Drosophila melanogaster: one gene and its partners. The protein of the gene in region 1 purifies or fractionates together with the protein of each later gene. This does not show direct contact. Each region holds a gene or a part of one and is shown on either strand. Other genes may lie near its edges. The genes, in order: Rsph3, Rsbp15 and Rsph1.

Region 1 (9,090 bases):
GACTAATGTGGTGAATCTAGGCCACTCAATATTTTCCAGATTACGCTTACATTTATTTTCACAGATTTACCCATAACTACATATTTTATGATCCTGTTGGCGCCACAGTCGCACATAAATAACTCATAAAAAAGTGCCCACAACAGCAGCCCGCAGATAATTCAACAATTGTGTCTGCCGAATGTTTTTTACGATCCGCAACCGTTAGGAACCCGAAGATCACTTTCCCTTCGACAAGCGGTAATAAATTAATCAAATCCCGTGCTGGACGTAATTTTTCCAGGGAAAATTGCAGCTCACACCTACACAGTGAAATGGATAGTATCTTGAGGAATATCGAGGAGTATCCGCAGTAAATGATTTGTTTGACAAGAAGCCAACAAACTCAGTGGGATGCCTTTGCCCGGTGACTTCGCAGAATCCGTATCGTATCTGAGCAAATGATCGGGAAATTGCGGGACAAGATCTCAGTCGCCAGTTGTCGCCTGTGTGGCCATCATTAACCTTTGAACTCACTAAATGGCCAAAGGACCACAGCGAATGTCAAACGTCATGGCCACTTATCGAGTGCGGACTGTTGTTCCTGTGATCTTATTAGGCATTTTCGGGAATTTCAAGGGGTTCGCTTCGGACGCAATTATCACCCCCGCATAAAGCGAAACGTCATCGTTGACAGCCACGTCATTGTTGTCCAGTCCGAAGACCAAAGTCCTTCGAACTATTTGTTAATGAATAGACAGAACCATACAAAAGATTCTGTGTAACTCGAAACAGAAAAAGGGGGTCAATTCAAATGACAAACGTTCGATAGTCCGAGATATGATAAGCCTTGAAAACCTAATTAAATGACACGTTCCAGGGAAATTCGATTCAGGCGTGGCTACATCGAAACGTTTTAACTGATGGCAAGCGATTTAACTTAGTGATAAATAGTTTAGAAAATTCAAAGTCATTTTAATATCAAGGAATTAGTGAGATTTTTTGATGTCCCCAAGGCAATTGTGCAACCAAATAGACCAAAAATGTAATTTATCTGCAAACTTACCACTAATCGATGATAACAATTTTGAAATAAAATTTTTTTATAAACTTTTTTCTTTGTTACTGTAAACTATTTAATATTAGCCAATAAATAGTAGCATTGAAAACTGCTTGCAATTTAGGTTCGGGTTTACTGCTTGCTGACAAGTAAAACAAAGTATACATATGTATAATATACATTTTACTGTAAAAAAATATTCACATTGTAAGTGTATAATGTCATGTAGAAAAATATAGTTATTTTGCTTAGGACTTGTAAAATGTTTTAACCATTTTAGACCTTAATGAATAATTTTAAAAATTGTAAAATTTATACAAAAAACATAAATAATTATTTTTCTGCCATCCTGCTTAAATTTAACGATGCGCTTAAAGTGTCAATTAAAAATCTATCTATGAATCAAAATCCCGAACAGCAGCTGTATCTGCAGAATGCATGCAATGTAGTTGGAATAATAAATCAGTAATAATAAAATGATAATGATAAATAATAAATAAATTATATTGGTATTTGGTCAAGTCCAGCTAAAAGCTAATAAAGCTCCTTAGAAAAAGTTGCTTTGCATTAGTTTCTCCTTGCTAGGAAGATATAAAAATAGATTCCTCATACTGAATGATAGTTAGTTGTGTATAATATATGGGAATGTGTAGTGACCATTCGCTAAGCGAAAGTTAGAAGGAAAAATTGCAAATGTCTCGATAGACTTTCAGTCAAAAAACGAACAAAATCTATCGAGTGTTAATACGAATAAAGTGCATTGCCAAAGACCCATCCCCACACAGCAACAGTTTAACAATGCCGACTTTCAATTCCCATGGCAACTGAGGAAATTCCGCCGTCGTTGTTTATTTTGGATACAAATTTTTTGATAATACAATATTTTTTTAAATATGGAGATAAAAACATAGGACAAAGAACTCCAGTGAAAATGTGTCACATAAATAAATCTATTTTGTACACATAAATTTGGCAAGCGGTAGACCTTTATCCGATATATATATTTTAAGTTTTTAAAAACCTCAATAACGCAACATAGCAATAGTTAGCAATGCCGACGATCCCGAAGAGGGATTACAAACCCAATGGTGGTGGCAAAAGCTCAGGAATGGATTTCCTCAGTTCCGGCATCAAGGGAACCGAGGTCACCGAGATGCAGCTCAAGTGGCACGAGAATCCTTGTCCAGCGCCACCATGCAAACAGGCATTTTGGTGGGCCAGCCATCCCAAGCCGATCAAAATCAAAGGTTGCCCCAAGTAAGTATCAAACAGAAGCCACCCAAAGAATTTCCCATGCTTCCCTGTAATTCCCTGTAATTTAAGTCCGACAAGTAGGGTATATTGAATATTTCGTAAAATTATATTATAATATTAATCAACTTTCTTACTTTCTTTGTAATTTATATAATATATAATAATTCAATAAGTAGTTAAGAAATCATTTATACGCTACAAATATGAACCATTAGAAATTGTAAGCTCGAGTTAATTATCATGGGTATTACTCCTCTTGTAATGAGTATCCTATAGTTGCAAAACCATTGCTTTTTGTAACGCCTTGCAGGGGAATTTTCTACACCTTTATATGTCTCCCCACTGGGGTCAATGGAACCCAAGACCAAAAACGAAAGTCATAAATTGCGTAAATAAATTATTAAACGCTGGCCGTGTTCGGCTGATGGTCAATACAATGGCCCCACTAAAGGACACGCAAACTTGGTACGATTTTGAATAGAAACATTCGTGTTCTGAAGGGAAACAATAGAAGGAGTGCACAGGACAGGAAATTATGAGGAGTGTGGAAGTCGATGAGTGCTTAAAACTATTGTAGAAATTGACGCACTAGTATCATAAAAATATACAAATATATCTGACTACCGATAATGACGGGGGCTGGACTTGGGTCGGATTAAGGTCAACCAGGGAATAAGGATGATCCCCAAATATGATAAAAACCCAATAAACTATAGTGTATCTAAATCCAGTTGTAGTAAAGTGCTCATTCTTCTCTCAAGCTAAAAATCGAATAAATACTACAGTGTGGTATATCTTATATCTTATCATTTATTCGAATATATTAGTACATCAATTCTGAACTGTATATGTTCAAATTAGGATAAGAATACCGTGCTTTAGGTCAGCCAACGAATTTAATCATATAGAAGTATGATTGAGTGAAAGAAAATTACCTTTTTTAACAACAGGCTTTACCAAAAGCTTTTGGACTTCTGATACATTCTTACCAATTCCTGTTACAATAATCTTTCATCTATTCACTGACCTTTCTTCATTGCCAGTAAAAAAGAGTGACTCCTTGGAGTGCCAAGAAATCTACTTAATTATGCTTAGTTCCCTGTTGAATTCCGCTTATCAGGCAGTCCAAGCAATTGACCTTGGCCATTGACAATACCTAGGAGGTGTTCCAAGTAATAGAGAGCCACCCACCTCCTTTTTCAATGTCAGGCAGGGAAATGCGTGAAGTCATCTCCGACAATGTGAAAGGAAATGTGGACACCATCGAAACAAATTCAAGGTCCCTCCGCCGGGCGAAACCTTTAATTGGAGACCCCAACGAAACTACTTGGATGGAAAAGAAAAAGCTCTTATGCAAAGTAGAATTCCTGGGAACGTGGATTTGGCCATGCCAATGCCACCGACTGTTAACAGTTCGCATTATTATTGCAACACCTGCCCATCATGTGCCTCAAACTGCGAAGCAAGCGATACACTCAGAAAAAAATTTGAAAAATATGTGTATATAGTATAGAAACTTACATTGTGGCACGCACGCGAAGTATTGTTATTTAAACTTATGAAACAGCAACATGAATAGTTTAAATATGCAATTTTCTATATAAACCAATTGCAGCACTTTAAGGATATTTTTACTAAAAATGTCCTTTGAAGTAACAGCTCAATTCCTGGAAAGCTTTAGTCGTGGGCAGTAGGAGACTATATGTTCCACATATTTTTCCAACTGCACGACGACTGCTGACCACGGGCCGAATCCAAAGTCGAAACCGGGTCCGAGCGCGAGTTCCACGAGTCCTGCGAGTCCTTTGGTCATTTGGCGTTTGCCATTCGAGCCGTGCGGTACGTGTTCCGCGACAAAATCAAACAATCAACCAACGAACGCAACACCTGAGCGGCGCACAAAAGGGAAAAATATAGGAAAAGTATTGATTAAGTTTTTCGGTGCGGCGGGTGAGAGAACCGTGTGGTGGCTATTTATAATGAACGAGGTGACCGGCGGCCGGGAGCAGGGATAACCGAGACGGTAGCGGAGACCATGCCAGAGACGGAGCAGCAGCAGCACCCAGCACACTCACATCCTGAACTTAAGCCAGATCCACAGCCAGTGCCAGAACTGGAGCACCTCACCGACAATAGACCGAATCGCGTGCAGAACTTCTCCTTCGCCAGCAGCTATCCCTACGCACCAGGACGCGTCTCGTCCAGCTCCAATTCGAACACCAACTACAGCTCCACCAACTACAACGCCGGCGGCTTCAACGTCCAGCGCTATCAGAGTCCCTACAATTTCCAGCACGTGGTGACCAACGCATTCTCGGTGCTGCGCCATCAGCCCTCCGAGGAGCCCGAATTCGATTCCTATCCAACGCGACCCCAACAGGCCATCGTGCGTCCGATTAGACGTGAGGCGGGCATAGCTGATAACCGTGATAATCATGTAGGGAATCCTCCACAGCGATCGCACTTCTCGCGCAGCAACCAGGAGGTGCGCAGCTTCGCCGATGAGCTGAGCCAGAAGCTGCGCTTCCTGGCGCCGGAGGAGCAGAACTACGGCGGTCGCCAGAGCGCCAATTCCGGTGCCTGGATGGATCCAGCGATGTCGCAGCGACCACGATTCGAGACCACAGTGCCGCAGGGCATCTTCCTGCCGCCTCCGCATGAGGTCCAAATGATACCGGCCACCATGCTGAGGAGGCATGTCTACGCCTACTCCTCATATCCCATGATCCTCCAAGGGTATCTCACCAAGGAGACCGGCAGTGAGAGCAAGGAGCAGAAGGTGACCGCCACCCGGCTGAACGGTTTGCGTGCCACGGCGGCAGTGGCGGCGGCCACAGCTGCGGCCTCCAAATCCTCCCGTAACGATACGCAATCCCTCGCCGGTGGACTCCACATCACCAAGGCTCAGTTCCAACAACAACTGCAACAGCGTCGCTCCACCAGCAACAACAACAACAACAGCAGCAGCAACATCAGCGACAAGAGGTAATAAAAAGACCAACCCCCAAAATGGTATGGGTGCTAAACTTGGAAGTAAAAAAAAAAAAGGTGGGAAGTGGAAAAGGTCCGACAACTGACCAAGGCAAAGTGGGCCAAAATATATTACCATAAATTCAAATGAGTAATACGTACGTACCTACACTGCCATTCTGCAATGGAACCAGAACTTAGCTCCCCACTTCAGTTCCTACGGCCATTATCGATTGACACCCAAACAATTCAATTACAAATAGGTTTTGTGGTTTAAAGTGCCGAATTGAATCCTTCAAGGATTTGTTATCTAAACTGATATAGATTCAAGATGATACCTTATTGATCTGTTTTTAGACTTTACTATGACACGCAAATAGAATGGAAGGCTCTTCATCAGCCAAGTTTCTTGTGTGGCTCACCCACTTTCACAATTAACTCTTTAACAATTCAATTAGAAATGCTTTTCCAATAACATTCGGACATTGTAAATTCCCTGAACGGTTTGATTAATTTATTTAGCGCATTCTCGAATGGGAAAACTCGTTTGCCTTGCATAAAAGAACATGCGAACAAATGGACAAATGGACAAAGGGACAAAGGACCCTCGAATGTGTCGTGCCAGCGGAGAATATTCTATATTCCCAGCTCGGGGCTTAAATAATTTAAATCAAGATTTCGTAAACAACAACAATATGTACCCATTGTACCAAAGCACAAATGGAGGGATATTAAGTTCAATTACCACACCAGAGAAGAAGGACACCTATGGCACAATAATAAAAAAAAAAAAAAAAACAAAAAACAGGTCCTGCCGGTCGTTTTTACCCAAATGGGATGTTGTTCGGCCAAATGGGCTATACTTTTTGGGTTACGAAAAATGAAATATCACACTCAACGTTTAAATAAAGAACCTATTAGGGAGATAACTATTTTATAACTCAAAAAGGATTCACCAACTTAGATTTTCGTTCAGACCATATATCCCTCATAAGGACATCGCACTAAGGGTTTCCCGTTCCATTTGCTGATGTCTGTGGTGCGCAGACCCAGACCCAGAGAAATGTTGTTAGACATTCGCCAGCAACTTCAATGTGACTTCCTGTTTGTGGGCCAAAAGTAGCTGCGAATTTGCATAGGTCACGAGTTCAGGTGCCAAGTTCTTCTAGTGCAATGTCTAACTACGTTATATACTACTTCTACTCGCAGTCAGCATGTATGTATCAGCATATATGTAGAAATGTAAGAAATGTTTGTTTCCCCATTTACTTGCCGGTGCTATACATATAAATTAGCAAGTCATAAATTACTCAGCCACCGCGGACTGGACTCGTGGAACTTTAAGCAGGCTTTAAACTCTGACCCAAAAGTGTACTGAACTTTGGCGAAATTGATTCGAATCGGAGATGACCTGACAAGCAGTCTGCGAGGGCGTTGGGAAATGAACAAATTTGATGTTTATCGCCTTGATAGTGCAACAGATTTGGGTCTTGGCAAATGCAGCAAAGTGCACTGAAACTGCAGCAAATCAAAACTAAATAAATAAAATATTTAAACTTTAATAGAAAGAAGTTAACAAATCTAAAGATAACTAAAACTCATACACTTTTAACTTGCTTTTCCAGCAGCAATTACAATATTTATCCATACATAGATATCATATTTATTAGAGAACTTAACCATTTATGTAGTAATCCTTTTAAGTTGCACATTTACGAACCTTTTCAAAAAGTCTGCAGCTTTTTTGCTGCATGAGCAGTTTGTTGAACTGGGTCGAGGCTTACTAATTGGTGGCTCCCACCTGGGCAACTCCATGCCCGCTTCTCCACTTTGCTCCTCTTGCAGACCCGTCGTCCCGCCGCCGGAACCCTACAAGAACGTCATGTACGACCGTCGCGTCATAAAGGGCAGCAACTTCGGCAACGCCTCTCTGGTGGTAAGTCCCATCAGTTCAGCTCAGCTTAGCTCAGTGCTCTGGCAGCCCTGACCTACGACTAATCCACTTTTTGCTTCCTCTCCAGACGGATGTGGATCCCTTCGACAAGGCCGCCGAATTGAGGCGTCGCAATATGTTGCGCAAACGGACGATGCAGTGCCGCAATCAGAGAAATGTCCTGGGCACACCGCCGCCGGTCAAGGGGCGGAAGCACGAGACCATACAGACGGAGAAGTATCTGGAGAAGTTGGTGCAGCGTCCGCCGGAGTTCACCATCGACACGCAGACGGACCTGTTCCTCGAGAAGCCGCCGACGCCTCCGTTCATACCGGCCAAGGTGGGCGTGGATGTGGCCACCGAGATCGGTGAGGGCGAACTCTTCCACTTCGATGCCGAGGCGCAGCCAATCATCGATGTCCTGGTGGACGCCTGCATTGAACAAAGCATGCTGGAGGTGGCTCACGAGATGGAACTGTCCAGTCTGCGACGCAAACAGGAAGAGTACGTATAAAAAGTGTAAAGTAAATCTTCAGATTACTATAATGGCGTTTTGTGTTACCCACAGATTCCTGGCCCAGAGGGAGGCGGAACTGGCCGAGCTGCGCCGTTTGGAGGCTGAGGAGCTGCGCTTGCAGGCGGAGAAGGAGCGTCGCCTGCGACAAGATGCGATTGCCAAGGAGCTGGACGCTGAGATGCAGAAGAGCGTGACGGCGGCCAAGTTGCTCCAGGGACACATTGCCAGTCTGGTGCCGGAGGTGCTGGAGAACATTGAGCCGGCCAGCGATGCCGTTAAGAAGGAGCAGCTTATGAAGAGCGTCTGCCCGTGGTTGTCCGCCGAGGTGGCCGAGGAAGTGGGCCATATAGTGGACTCGCGCGAGATTCTCACCGCCATCATTCAGGAGATTATCAAGCAGCGTGCCGAGATCTATGCCGGCTACAAGGAACCTGAATCGGAACCATCCGGACCGGATGCGGGCGTTTGTGAGGAGGAGGGCTGTGCCATCGATGAGATGGAGGCGTGTCCCTGCGAATCGGAAACGGAAATGGAGGAGTGCCCCGAACCGCCACCACCGGCTCCTCATCTCTAAGTGATTGCGTTCGAGTTTTAGTTCATATATATATTTCGAGTGGGATACTGATTCCGCACACATGTAACACTAACACACTCCTGCTATTAAATCAAGGTTGGCTGCAACTTTGTGGTTGTGTCTGGTGAAGAACTCAATTCGCCGCAGGATTCGAATCGAGCCTGGGCGCCAAACACAATTGCATAGCGGCGGCGGCGAAATGGCATCGAAAAAATGGAATGGCATATTGTAAACTGGATACTTGTTAAAGGTTTTTGTGTTACCGAAAATTCAACCAATAAAGCTCAACAAAATAAGCCGAACAAAACATTTTAGAAAATATTTTAAACGGTTGTTAAATTAAATTAAAATATTAATAGAGCCAAGCAATTTGAAATTTCAATGTTACCTTGGTATTTAAGGGGTCTGCATGTACGGTCACACTGCACGTGACGTCACATTGTTTTTTCCATACCGAATTAATGAATCACCACTGACCGAATTTCCTTGTTTTCACAACTAATTCGGAAGTCCAGGGTGTAGTGAAGATGTTTTCCAGCGGCCCCAATTACAACAAACTGAAGACCAATCTTCGATTGGCTCTCAATCGCCTGAAATTGCTGGAGAAGAAGAAGGCGGAGCTGACGCAAAAGTCCAGGAAGGAAATAGCCGACTATTTGGCCACGGGCAAAACGGAAAGGGCGAGGATTCGCGTGGAGCACATCATTAGGTGGGTGCAGGAATATATGAGCCATTCTTATACCTCCATATATCGTATATATCGTACATCATAGGGAGGACTACTTGGTGGAGGCAATGGAAAT
Region 2 (5,918 bases), on another chromosome or scaffold:
TCTTCTGAAGGTGCCACATCACTCACCCGACATGAGTGCGCAACTCCTCGCGCTTGTTCTCCACCACCGACTGGATCTTTTTGTGCACCTCGTCTATCTCGGACACGCTGTGCTGCTCAAACAGCGTGTCCACGTTCAGGTTTAACAAATTGGCCGTCATTTAGCCGTCAAATTAGTTTTATTTAAATTAAGAAAACAATAACAAGGGAGCAGCTGTAATAAAATCGAATTATGTATCGATGACTGGCAACATCGATATTTTCTCTCATGACTGTCTATGACTGTTAAATTTATGTTAGTTTACATTTCTCTGTTGGTAAAAATGTTAGATATGCTGTCATGTGCAAGCCGTTACATTTCAATATAACATAAAGAGTTATAGTTAGGGGAATTACCTCATTTAATCGAAAAAAGATATTTTTCTAAATCCAGGTTTCATTTGTTTAAATATACTTTATTAAATGCATTTGTCTGGCATAGATAAACTAATTTACATACACAACAAGTGTAAAAGCAAGAATTCTGATTGGTTTGGCAGCAGTAATAAAGAAAAACCAACAATGGCTTTCACTCCTTTCCCAATTCCCGCAGCACTGCGTTGGCGATCACAATTCTTTGGATCTCCGAGGTTCCCTCGTAAATCTCTGTGACGCGGGCGTTGCGGTAGTAAAGCTCCGCAGGCAGATCGGTGGTGTACCCCATCCCACCCAGGATCTGGATGCACTGGTGGGCACAAAAGGTGGCGGACTCGGAGGCATGCAGCTTGGCCATGGCCGCCTCCTTTGTGATTGGCAGCCCATTATCCTTCAGCCAAGCGGCACGCCACGTTAGCAGCCTTGAGATCTCCACCCGCGTGGCCATGTCGGCCAGCTTCTGCTGGATGAGCTGCAACCGTGCCAGATGCTTTCCGAAGGCCACCCTCTTCTGCGAATAATCCACGGCTAGTTCCAGGGCAGCTTGTGCGATACCGGTGGCCTGGGCGGCTATACCGATCCTGCCACAGTCCAAGGACTGCATGGCGATCTTGAAGCCATCACCGGCAGCTCCAAGGACCCGGGATCGCGGCACGTGAACGTCCTCCAGCACCAGCTGGCAAGTCGAAGTCGCGCGCATGCCCATTTTGCTTTCCTTCTTGGCTATGGAGAGTCCTGGAACATCCTTGGGCGTAAGAAAGGCAGTGATTCCCTTGTGTTTCATGCTCTTGTCCACCGTGGCAAAGACGATACCCCCGCTGGCCTCCTTGGAGTTTGATATCCACGCTTTAGTGCCGTTTATTTGGTAGCTGTCCCCTTGCAGCTTGGCCGTGGTGCTGGCAGCTCCTGCATCCGATCCGTTTCCAGGTTCCGATAGTGCATAGAAGGCGATGTGCTCACCCTGGGTGTACGGCACCAGGAAATCCTGCTTCTGCTGCTCGGTTCCATGCTGCTGCACTGCACCCAGGTACAGGTTATTCACGCCCATCACAATGGACACGGCGGCGTCACCACGAGCCACCTCCTCCATGCCAATCGCGTAGGCCTGGTAATCCAATCCGGAACCACCTGAAAAATCAATATTTAATGAATGGAATCTAGTAGTATGATCTATTTATATACCATTTCAAAAATGAAAACATCACATATTTTATGTTATGTAAATATTGTAAATATTATAATTGAAATAGGAACTCACCATACTCCTCTCGAACCGTCACTGACATGAGACCGAGTTCTCCCAACCGTCGGACCTGTTCCGCCGGATAAAGCTCCTCCCGGTCGTGGTGTCGCGCTTTGGGGGCCAGTTCCGCATTGGCGAACTCCCGGCAAGTCTTCTGGAGAATCTGGTGGGTCTCGGAGAGGGCGGCCAGGCATGCGATTCCCCGGTTTCCACCAGCGATTATCCTCGCACTCCATGCGCCGCTCGAGCGTTGACCTGCAAAGACGGAGGCGGCAAATCGATCATCCAGTCAGCCGGGAATCACCCAGTTCCTCACCCAACGTCCGCGCCACTCTGATCAGCTGCTGCATTCCGTCGCCAACTGATCCCAAGCCCGTGGTGCCGGTTGCGATCGAGGTAGTGAAAGCTTTTTCGCACTCGTCGACGAGCCGATCGAAATACAACCGAGGAAAACAGCTTTTATACGCAGCTTTTTGAGGCGAAGTTCATGGGAGGAGATTGAAAGGGGGTCCCGTTTATTAAAAACTACTAATCGATTTTGTAAAATGGTTCTTTTAAATTGATTTTAATTGAGTATAAGAATTACTAAAATCATTTTAGTTGTTTCAAATTTGTAATTTATAATCGGTTTTTAACAAATTTTAAAGTTTCATTTAAAAATGGTATTGATAAGCGCCGAAGTCACCACTGCGCCACTGTGTTCGTATAAAGTGTTTCAACTATATAGTACTACCTAAAATGATCGAAAGTATTTTGTTTTGGCGCTAACTTTGTGAAATTACCAAGTTTCTGGGTTAAAGATCATTTGAAAGAACAGAAAGGGAAAGCGGTTCAATGGATTTCGATAAAGAAGAATCCACCAAGAACCCTGTTGATTTCCTATACCGGCTGAATACGAAATTAGGCAATGCTAATTTCCGATACACACCCACTTTCATTGAAAGGTACAAGGTGCATTTTACCCACATGAAACACAAGTACACATTACAATTTTTCAACTTACATATTACAAAGTTAGTGGACTTTGGGAATTTTCAGGAACACGTGTGAGACAGTTTTTTGAAACATTTAAGCTCATGGATCAAATTGAGAATATATAACCCATTATTGTTTTTCACCATTTAAACATTTAAACCAGCTTTTTGCTAGCGCCATCTAGGTTAAGTAAACAGAACTGAGCACCTTACATCAGCAAGGTATTTCGCAGTCAGTCCGTGTAAAAATCATTGTAGAGCGCTGTAAATTATTATTTTCATTTGCTCTTAACGTAGTAGACCGGTTAAAAGGGATTTCAAAACTGAACCATTTCCGAATTATTATCTTCTTCTCAGCTAAACTGTTCAAAATTATAGAATTTTGCTTTATACTTTTGAAAAACGAAGATGAATTACTTGATCCAGCGTGGCAAGATGCGCCAGCAGGCGATTAATGTTCCAGAGGGTCTGCCGGAACTTCTATCAGATGTTACACGGGAGGTGCTAAGGTGTCAGCCGAAGAAAGAGTGCCTCTGCCAGTTCATCATCGACTATCTACATTCGGTGATCGTGACAAGGGAAAAGGCTATGGGTAAGTACTCCCACAGGATGTAGAAAGTATCAAACTTTTCTTTACGCACGCCTGTATTTTCTTACAGTGGCCAAGACCATTTTGGATCGCTCTCTGCGCCAGGTGGACAGCATAATATCGGACCTCTGTGTCTGTGATCTCTCCAAGGAGAAGTCCGAGTTGATGGGCCAGGTTCTAGAGGACTGTTTCCGTAACTTCCTCGAGAAACGACGCTGCGAGATGCGGCGTGGCAAGCAGGCGATTAAGTTCGAGGATGTGGACATCCTAGAGGAGCTGCTGCAGAAGTGCAAGTTTACCGACGAGGAGCTGGTCATGTCACGGCCGGCCATCGAGAGTGCCTACAAGCGCTTCGTGGACGCCTATATGTCCGCCGAACGTGGAGCCGATGGAACGGAGCTACTCTACCAGTACTTCCGGGACAGGGAACTGAAGCGTATCAACGAGGCCATGCGCAACCAGGCAGCCATCACGATCCAGGCGGCTTGGCGAGGATACTGGGTTCGCCTCCAGTTCCCGCAAGAAGTTTGCGTTTGTGTCTGCGCAGCGGTAAGTGAATCTACTTCTAAAAGTCTGCCCCTAAACTTGGTTATGACTTAAATCCAACAGGAAAAAGAGGACGACGGGGAGGAAAAGCGCAGGGAACAGGCAGCGAGCGTTCTTCAGAGATTCTTCCGCAAGGTTATGTTGGTATGTAACAAGAGTTAAAAACTATTTTACATTATATATATTTATATTTTAAACTGTTTTTCTTAATTTTTTACGCCAAATTTGCAGCGCGTGGTTACCAAGCCAATCGTAGACCCCTGTGCCGAACCAACGGAACCAACTGAAGTGGATGCTAGCTCTTCACCGGATACAGCAAAGGATGGCTATGACGACGTAAATCTCTCGACAGTACCGACAACTGCTGCGATAACAGCCGGACCAACACCATTACCAACTGCTCCCGGAACTGTGCCGCCATCTGCCCCAGGCACTGCTCCGGCCACGGCCAGAACTTCGGCCACTGCTATAGCAGAGCCAGAAGCTCATGAAGAGGCTGCGGAAGCTCAGCCAGCGGAGGAAGCTCCTGCAGCAGAGGCGCCTGCTGATGAAGCAGCACCAGCTCCGGCTGAGGAGGCTGCCCCACCGCCAGCAGAAGAGGCTGCACCGGAAGCCGCCGAAGAGCCGGCACCTCCACCACCACCAGAAGAAGCAGCGGCACCGCCACCGCCCGCTGAGGAGCCCGCTCCGACAGAGGGAGCAGCTCCTCCCGCTGAAGAAGCTCCCGCAGAAGAAGCTCCCGCAGCTGAGTAGATGAAACCATGCTGTGTTTATTAATTTTCCCTTAGTTGTTAAATTGATGTTATCTGCAAGTGAATAAACTGATCGAAAAGTGCTGGAATCCTCTTCTCCTTCAGGATTTTGTTTGATTTCCTATCCAGTCACTGAAGGTAGACACTCTGGTGTAGACATCCGGAGAGATGTATAGACCACACACCACCAGCCCGTAGGATACTATGCCCACTTGCTGTAATCCATTTTTGGATTCCATTACCAAAGGACCGCCAGAGTCGCCCTGGAAACAAGATCAATCTATGATCTAGCTAGTGTATTATCATCCAACTCACCGAACAGGCTCCCCTAAAAGGTCCTCTGGCGCAGATCTCCGTATCCGTAACGCTCTCCATGCCCGCATTCCTGCACTCACTGTTCGAGATGGTGTGGTAACTCATGCGCTGAAGAACATTGGGATAGTTCACATTATCCAAGAAGGGAAAGGGCACTGGTAAGCGGAGGCCCCATCCCGTCAAGGTTACTGGAACTCCTCCACCAACGAAGTCTTTCCCCTGCGATCGATACTCAATTGCACTAATGGTCGAGTTATTTAACTTCAGCGGAGGTTTGATGGACAGCACGGCAAGATCGCTGGTAACCAGTTCCTGATACTTGGGATGGATGCTGTAGGATAGCACCTGGGAGCGGGAACCCTTCTCGTTCAGTCCTCGAATTCCGGCCACAACAGACATGCGACTGGCGTTGAGACCCTGACAACAGTGAGCTGCAGTAAGGATGCGATTGGGAGCGATGATGGATCCACCGCAGAAGTGCATCTGACCACCGCGTGTTCTGTACTGCAGCGAAACCTGGTAGGGCACATGTTCGCCTGGTGGGATGTCAGCGCCTCCAACAATACGATGTGGAGTATACCCACTGGGTTGACGAGCTTTAACAATATACACGTCTGTTACCAGGGGATTCTGAGTTACTGATTCCAATTCAAACTCACAATTCAGTCTCCCGAAGACTCCTCCCAAAGCTACAACTCCGATCAGCAGTAGTTGTTCAGTTAGACCCATCGTTGTTTGGCTAATGCCACTGGCTTTGCACCTGCCACACTTCTTAAATAAGAGCTTAGCCCACATTGGCGAAAGAATTTGCATATGTATCGCAAAATATCTGGGTCACCTTGGCTACTTGGTTATGCCATTATATTTGATCTTGAAATTGAAATTATAATGAGAGCTTCTGCTGGTAACGCAGCCCAGATACCTGGTATGCAAATATCTAATTACGAATTTGCAAGACATATTTACGGACAACGATAATGCCACATTTGACTGACTTGGTAAAGTAGAGTTTATCAGAATATATTTGAATAACTCGCGATCGATATTCCAATATTTGTTTTGACAATTTGTACATTGTGATATTGC
Region 3 (5,875 bases), on another chromosome or scaffold:
AAATTTGCTTGCCTTCTGATAATTGGTATTAATATTTAAAGTAAGTCTAAAAAGCTTTTTCATACAGATCGTGTGTGTTATGTCTTAAAAATAATGCTAAATTGCGATCAACCCATTTCACAACTTTTTCCAGCAAATTTGAGACTTCTCTCAGTTGGTTGCATCGACTTCCTCTCATAAATTCATTGTTTAGTTCTGGTTTTTCTTATCACAGATGGCGGGTCTGTCTGTCCTGTCTGCTGAGATACTAAATTTGGAATTCACCTGGCCAAAAACACAGAAGGGCATTCGCATGAGTGGATTAGGCAGAGTATGATATGATGATTATGAGATTGTTAGACTTTGATGGGGATTCAAAAGCAGGCACATATAAATATATATATTCGTAGGTTTATGCTGGTTCGATAGGCTGCCATGCCCAAGTCAAACTTCGGCAGGCGTAGTTAGTCTTCGTCCTGCAGATCTTCCAGGACGTCCACATCGTATAGGTTCACCAGCAGCTGGCCGTACTGGCTGCTGTGCTGGAGCGCCTCCTCCGGAGCGAAATACTTCTCGCTCTGCTCCCGCAAGCGGTGCAGCTGCGTGGTGCCATCGATGTGAACTCCATTGGCTATCAGTTGCTGCATGTAGTTGGCATCGATGTGGGCATTGCGGGTATCGTTGGGTAGTTTTACTGGCAGCTTGCGGGGACTGGAGCTCTGCAGCAGGAGCACAATCTGCTCGGGAGGCAGGCACAGCTCGCAGTTCCAGCCGCCGTAGTGGTTGAGATCACCCAGTGTGCTGCTCGCCAGCCGGTGCAGGCGGTGAGCATCCAGTTGGGCACTGTGCAGGTGCCCCAAGGAACTTATCACCCCATTTAGGAGGGTCTTCTTCGGATGCTGCCAGTAGAATCCATATACATTGTACTTCAAACGAAATTTCAGCGGCAGCACATCCTTGGCATAGTACTTCAGAAACTTGAGTGCTGCTGGCGCGTAGACCGTTCCACTGTCCCCGTGCAGCAGCAGGTCCTGTGCCTGCATTTGGACACCACACTGCTGCCACAGCTGCCGCCTAAAGTGACTGTAGGCCATTGAGCTGGTGCAGTTGCTCTCGGAGGAGCAGCGTAGTAGCGTATAGCTCGTTTGGCTGCCCAGCATGCTCTCCAGACTCCGCTCCTTGCTGCCGTTGCTCACATAGTATATGAGAAAGTAGTCCACAACCTCGATGAGCGCTCGAATTTGCAGCTCCAAGAGCTCCAGACTTAGGTGGTCCCAGGCGCCCAATTCAAGCATATAGAACAGGCGGTGCAGTGAAGAAGAACTGGCCTCGACCAGTTGAAGCGGTGTGCTACCGCCTCGTTTACTGGCCCGATTGGACGTCATCAGGGCTCGCCATATGATCTCCGGCTGGCCGCAATCTCTGCCGTGCCAGCCACTTTCACATCTGCATTGAGGCGGCGCCATCAGATAGTCCACATCGTTGAGCCGCTGGCTCTCGTTGATGGTCCCCTCGCGATAGCACCAGAGGTTTGGGGTTAGACCCATCTCCGCGTCCACATAGGCGGGCACATTGTAGTCGGGCAGGTGGGATTCGTTCAGTCGTTCCGGTTTCATTTGATAAAAGTCCTTGTCGTAGCGGTTGACATTCTCCTGCAGATGCGGACAGTGGGTTCCGCCCACAAGTGCCATCTTCTCCATAGGGGCTTCACCGCTGGCCACGAAGTTGACCCGTCCGCCAAGTTGGTCCATTGCACTGCGCTGCTGCGACTCCTGGCCACGGCTCATCTGCAGCAGCCATATGCAGCCGATGAAGCCCACCTGCAGCACCAGCACCAACCAGAGCACCAGCTTCTTGGTGATGGCCAGCCGTCCAACGCCGGCTACCGGTGTCTGGTTGTAGGTGGCCAGGAATGTGCTTCTCACCATGGTCACTGGTTCACTTTCTGCAGTTCATCCTGCTCATTCCGTTTCGATTTTTCGTACTTTTCACGCTTTTCTTCTGCTGGCAAACACGCCCAAAAATTTTACGGCACCCCTCAACTCCCCCGCACAGCTGACGCAAATGTCCTCAGTCAGCTGTTCGCCGCTGCAGTTGTAAATCTGGCTGTTTCGCATCGATGGGCCTTACAACACTGGTTGTTACTGTTATCGAATTATTAAGGATGTTATTTGAAACTTAAAAATACGTTATAATCTCTTTTCGTCAGCTTAAATTTAATAATTATCATATTCACAAAAAATAAAACTTTTATGTAATAAAGTTCGGATAATAATGTTAATTTTTCTGTCATGCGTAATTTTGTTGTTAATTCCTAATATTTTTTTTACTTCTAACTAACTTTTCGTTTGTAATATATTTTCTATCTTACTTATTTCGCAGATATCCATCGCAGGTGTTTGTTGGGGACACCTACTGCTACTTTGCCGGCATGACTTTCGCCGTGGTTGGAATCCTGGGCCACTTCAGCAAGACGCTGCTGCTCTTCTTCCTGCCGCAGATCCTGAATTTCCTGTACTCCACGCCGCAGCTGTTCCACTTTGTGCCATGTCCGCGTCACCGGCTGCCCAAGTACGACAGCAAGACGGATCTGCTCCACATCAGCACCACGGAGTTTCGCCTGGAGGATCTCAACGCTCCGGGTCGCCTGATGGTCACAGTACTGCGGAACTTGCGACTAATAAGCTGGCATACCAAAGCGGACGGAGTTGTTAGGACCAACAACTTTACGCTCATTAACTTTGTCCTAGTCGTTTTCGGACCTGTCCACGAGCGAGTGGTCACCCAGATGCTGATGGGATTCCAGGTGCTGTGTACACTGATTGCCCTGACCATACGATATCCACTGGCCAACTACTTCTATGCGAAAACGTAGCCCTCGATTTCATCATTCTTCGATTCTGATATTTATTGTAGTAAGCCTTTGCTAAGTTAACTATACAAACAGAATACATTTATTTAATGCCTACACAAAATATTTCCCGAACGTAATTCGTAAGTAAAAATCTACTTCACTCGGCAATAAAAAGAACCGAAAGGAGTTAGTTAACTCAAAATCATCACCATGGCCATGACCGAAATGTCCGAGGAGGATCTGTCGGCGCCCGAGGAAGAGGAGGATTTGGGACCCAATATAGGCGTAAGTTCCAAAATGGATGAGTTTCTTAGTAGTGCATCTTCCTTCCTCAAAAGAAATAAATTTTTAGTGGAGTAACTTTAATACGAACATTCTCTAGTAGTAACAGTTTTTAGTAAGCAAGGAGCTCAATTAAAACAAATATCTATAATAATCCTCAATCCCAGCTCTACATAGGCGGTCGAAATGCTGCCGGACAGAGACAAGGTAGAGGTTGGGCCATCCTGCCCAACGGAGATCAGTATGATGGGAACTACAGGAAGGGTCGCCGTCACGGCATCGGGGTGTACGTGTTCAAGGATGGTTCACGATACTACGGACAGTATCGCTGCGGGAAGCGTTGTGGGCGCGGCATCTTCATCTATCCGGACGGATCCGTGTACGAGGGCAACTGGCGAAAGAACTTGAAGCACGGCAAGGGCCGGTACAAGTATGTGAATGGGGACAACTATTCGGGTGACTGGTTCAAGGGACAACGTCATGGGGTGGGCATCTATCACTTTAACAGCGGAAAGGATGGCTGCTGCCTGTCCGTCAGAATGAAGGCCACCTGGAACAGCAACATGCGAACGGGTCCCTTCGAGCTGTATATCGGCAATGAGGACAAGTGCACAATACTTCACGGAATTTGGGATAACCTGTACCCGAGTGGACCGGCCGTGTTTAGCTTCAACAATCGATACCTTCTGCTGGGCTATTTCCTGCCCGCCAGTTACAACATGAAGGCGATCAGCAACGAAGACGAGATGGAGGACGCCGAGGAGCGCTTGGAGGACGAGATGGGTGAAGCGGAGCCAATGGAACCAACACTATGGTTCGCCCAGGAGATGGCCGTGTATGACTTTTCGCTGCTGCCGCAGGAGCCAGTGCCTCTGGCCATTTCCGATTCCGAGCTGTCCGTCTGCTCGCTCTCCACTGAGCCGAGCATGCGCAGCGAGGAGAAGATCAGTTGGTATGGAGAGGGTGAAGAGGCCGAGGGCGAGGAGGGCGGCGAGATGGAGTGCTTCCCATGCGAGTGCGATCTCACCGATGTCAGCGAGGTGGAGACGGAGAGCGAGGTGTGCAAAATCGACGCCAATCCATGCTGCATTGAGATCCTCAAGCAACCAGAGTGTCCAGATCCTTAGGAATGTAGCTGCGCTATTCCACATGCATTTGTTATTGTTATTTTATGTTGCCTGCAAATGAAAGAATATATCAGTATATCTGAAAAACAAAAAAACATATATTAAGTCGGTGGCCGTAGAATGATTTTATCTTGGAATAAGGAATTCGGCAATTGATATAAGTTATGGTTTATTTGTTATATACGCTTTTATTTTCATACAGTTCAATTAAAATTTGTCAGTTTCATTTTAAAATACGCCTTGCACTTTACAGTTTTGATGCTTTAAACTCGTTAAGTAATGAAATCACAAATGGGGGGCTCTCTTTTCAAGTTTTATTGACGTGATGATACCTCAGCGATAGAATCCAGCTGTGAATAGATCTCAATTTTAAATTCATTAAGCTTGGTTTTTGATCAGCTCATCGGTCGGTGTAATCGTATGACTTGTTCCGATATACATATATATTTTCTAATGTTCAGCACTTGAATTTCTGCGTTTTGCTAATTAACTCTAAGTTTAATTATTGTTGTCCGCCCTACCATTGTAGCGTAACCATTAACATTAACTTCATTTGCAGATGCGTGTTTGATTTACGTACTTCTATACAGTTTATATCTTCGTTACTAATGTTTAATTTAAAAAAATCTCTAGGTGCTGGCATGGTCAGGCTTGGGGGGAGTAGATGGTAATGAGGCGTCATTTGCCAGCTTACTGCTGACCTGGCAGACATCGCCGCAACTGGCGGCCAAGCTGTTGGACTCACAACTGGACTCGGATGGTGGAGTCTCGCTATTCCCTGCGTCGCCCTCCTGTTCCGCTTTGCACAACGACGCCGTGCCGCATTCGTCCAGGATAATGTTCAGCTTCTCCGTCCTCGCCTGCATCACAGGAGCAACGGTTGAGGTCAGCGAAGTGGTCTCCACGGGATTTATGCGAAGCATTTGGTATGGTGCTTCGCCCTCCTTCTGCAACTCATGCAGTGTGCTACCATCTCGCTGTTTGGAAACCTTATAAATGGCCGGACATGACTTTGAGGTCTTCACATCGTTCAAGTCCTTCAGTTCGGGCATCCCCAGTGGTTTACCGCTGATCTTCCTTAGCGGCTGCATCTCCTGCTCTTGATTATTGTCCTCCACGCTTATGAACTGCGATAGAGCCCCTGCTGCCGCCAAAGCCGCCGCCTGGCCACTGCTGCTGGCGCCTTCGGGATTCATATAGAGCATGGAGGCATTGTAAAGCAATAGCTGAGGTTCCATTTTAAAATCGTGCTCCAACTGCTTTTGCTGATCCAGATTCTCATCAATGTAGTTGATGTGGATGGGGGAGTTCTGCAGGTTAAGTTGCGAGCTATGCAGCAAGTCATCGTCTGGTGGGGTATAGTAAAGCGACGCCTTGCTGGCTGAGTAATTAGCAGATAGGCGCGCCTTAATTTTTTGTATGTGCAGCTCCTTGGAGTCACCAAAGTCCATTTGGCCTTTGAAGTAGCAGTCTATGTCTGATGAAAAAAAAAGGAGTAAATTTAATATATATACGACTTAAAGGTAGTTTGTTATAATATTTTACCCTCGGCAATGTCTTCCTCACATCGTCCGCGACAATTCTCAAAGTAGAAGCTAGGAAGGTTCTCCAGCACCTTGTTCAGCGTCTGCTG

The links.
Region 2: the proteins of Rsph3 (region 1) and Rsbp15 purify together in Drosophila melanogaster (affinity purification with western blotting; one study listed by BioGRID). This does not show direct contact.
Region 3: the proteins of Rsph3 (region 1) and Rsph1 purify together in Drosophila melanogaster (affinity purification with western blotting; one study listed by BioGRID). This does not show direct contact.

What each region holds. Positions count from the first base shown.
Region 1 is NT_037436.4:6,756,129-6,765,218, reverse strand, and holds Rsph3 (radial spoke head protein 3), read left to right. Parts: upstream 1-4,104; 5' UTR 4,105-4,328; coding exon 4,329-5,278; intron 5,279-7,108; coding exon 7,109-7,199; intron 7,200-7,284; coding exon 7,285-7,700; intron 7,701-7,764; coding exon 7,765-8,287; 3' UTR 8,288-8,590; downstream 8,591-9,090. Other genes in the region: Ist1, read left to right, coding at 8,815-8,996, 9,061-9,090.
Region 2 is NT_033777.3:12,219,445-12,225,362, forward strand, and holds Rsbp15 (radial spoke binding protein 15), read left to right. Parts: upstream 1-2,942; 5' UTR 2,943-3,038; coding exon 3,039-3,222; intron 3,223-3,289; coding exon 3,290-3,768; intron 3,769-3,828; coding exon 3,829-3,909; intron 3,910-3,996; coding exon 3,997-4,518; 3' UTR 4,519-4,604; downstream 4,605-5,918. Other genes in the region: Cog1 (component of oligomeric golgi complex 1), read right to left, coding at 27-160; CG4860 (uncharacterized protein), read right to left, coding at 568-1,541, 1,672-1,911, 1,973-2,006; CG17404 (uncharacterized protein), read right to left, coding at 4,619-4,780, 4,833-5,428, 5,492-5,561.
Region 3 is NT_033779.5:13,180,546-13,186,420, forward strand, and holds Rsph1 (radial spoke head protein 1), read left to right. Parts: upstream 1-2,904; 5' UTR 2,905-3,043; coding exon 3,044-3,118; intron 3,119-3,282; coding exon 3,283-4,242; 3' UTR 4,243-4,330; downstream 4,331-5,875. Other genes in the region: Alg7 dolichyl-phosphate N-acetylglucosaminephosphotransferase, read left to right, coding at 2,362-2,854; Mgat3 (beta-1,4-mannosyl-glycoprotein 4-beta-N-acetylglucosaminyltransferase), read right to left, coding at 444-1,907; CG16974 (uncharacterized protein), read right to left, coding at 4,872-5,719, 5,788-5,875.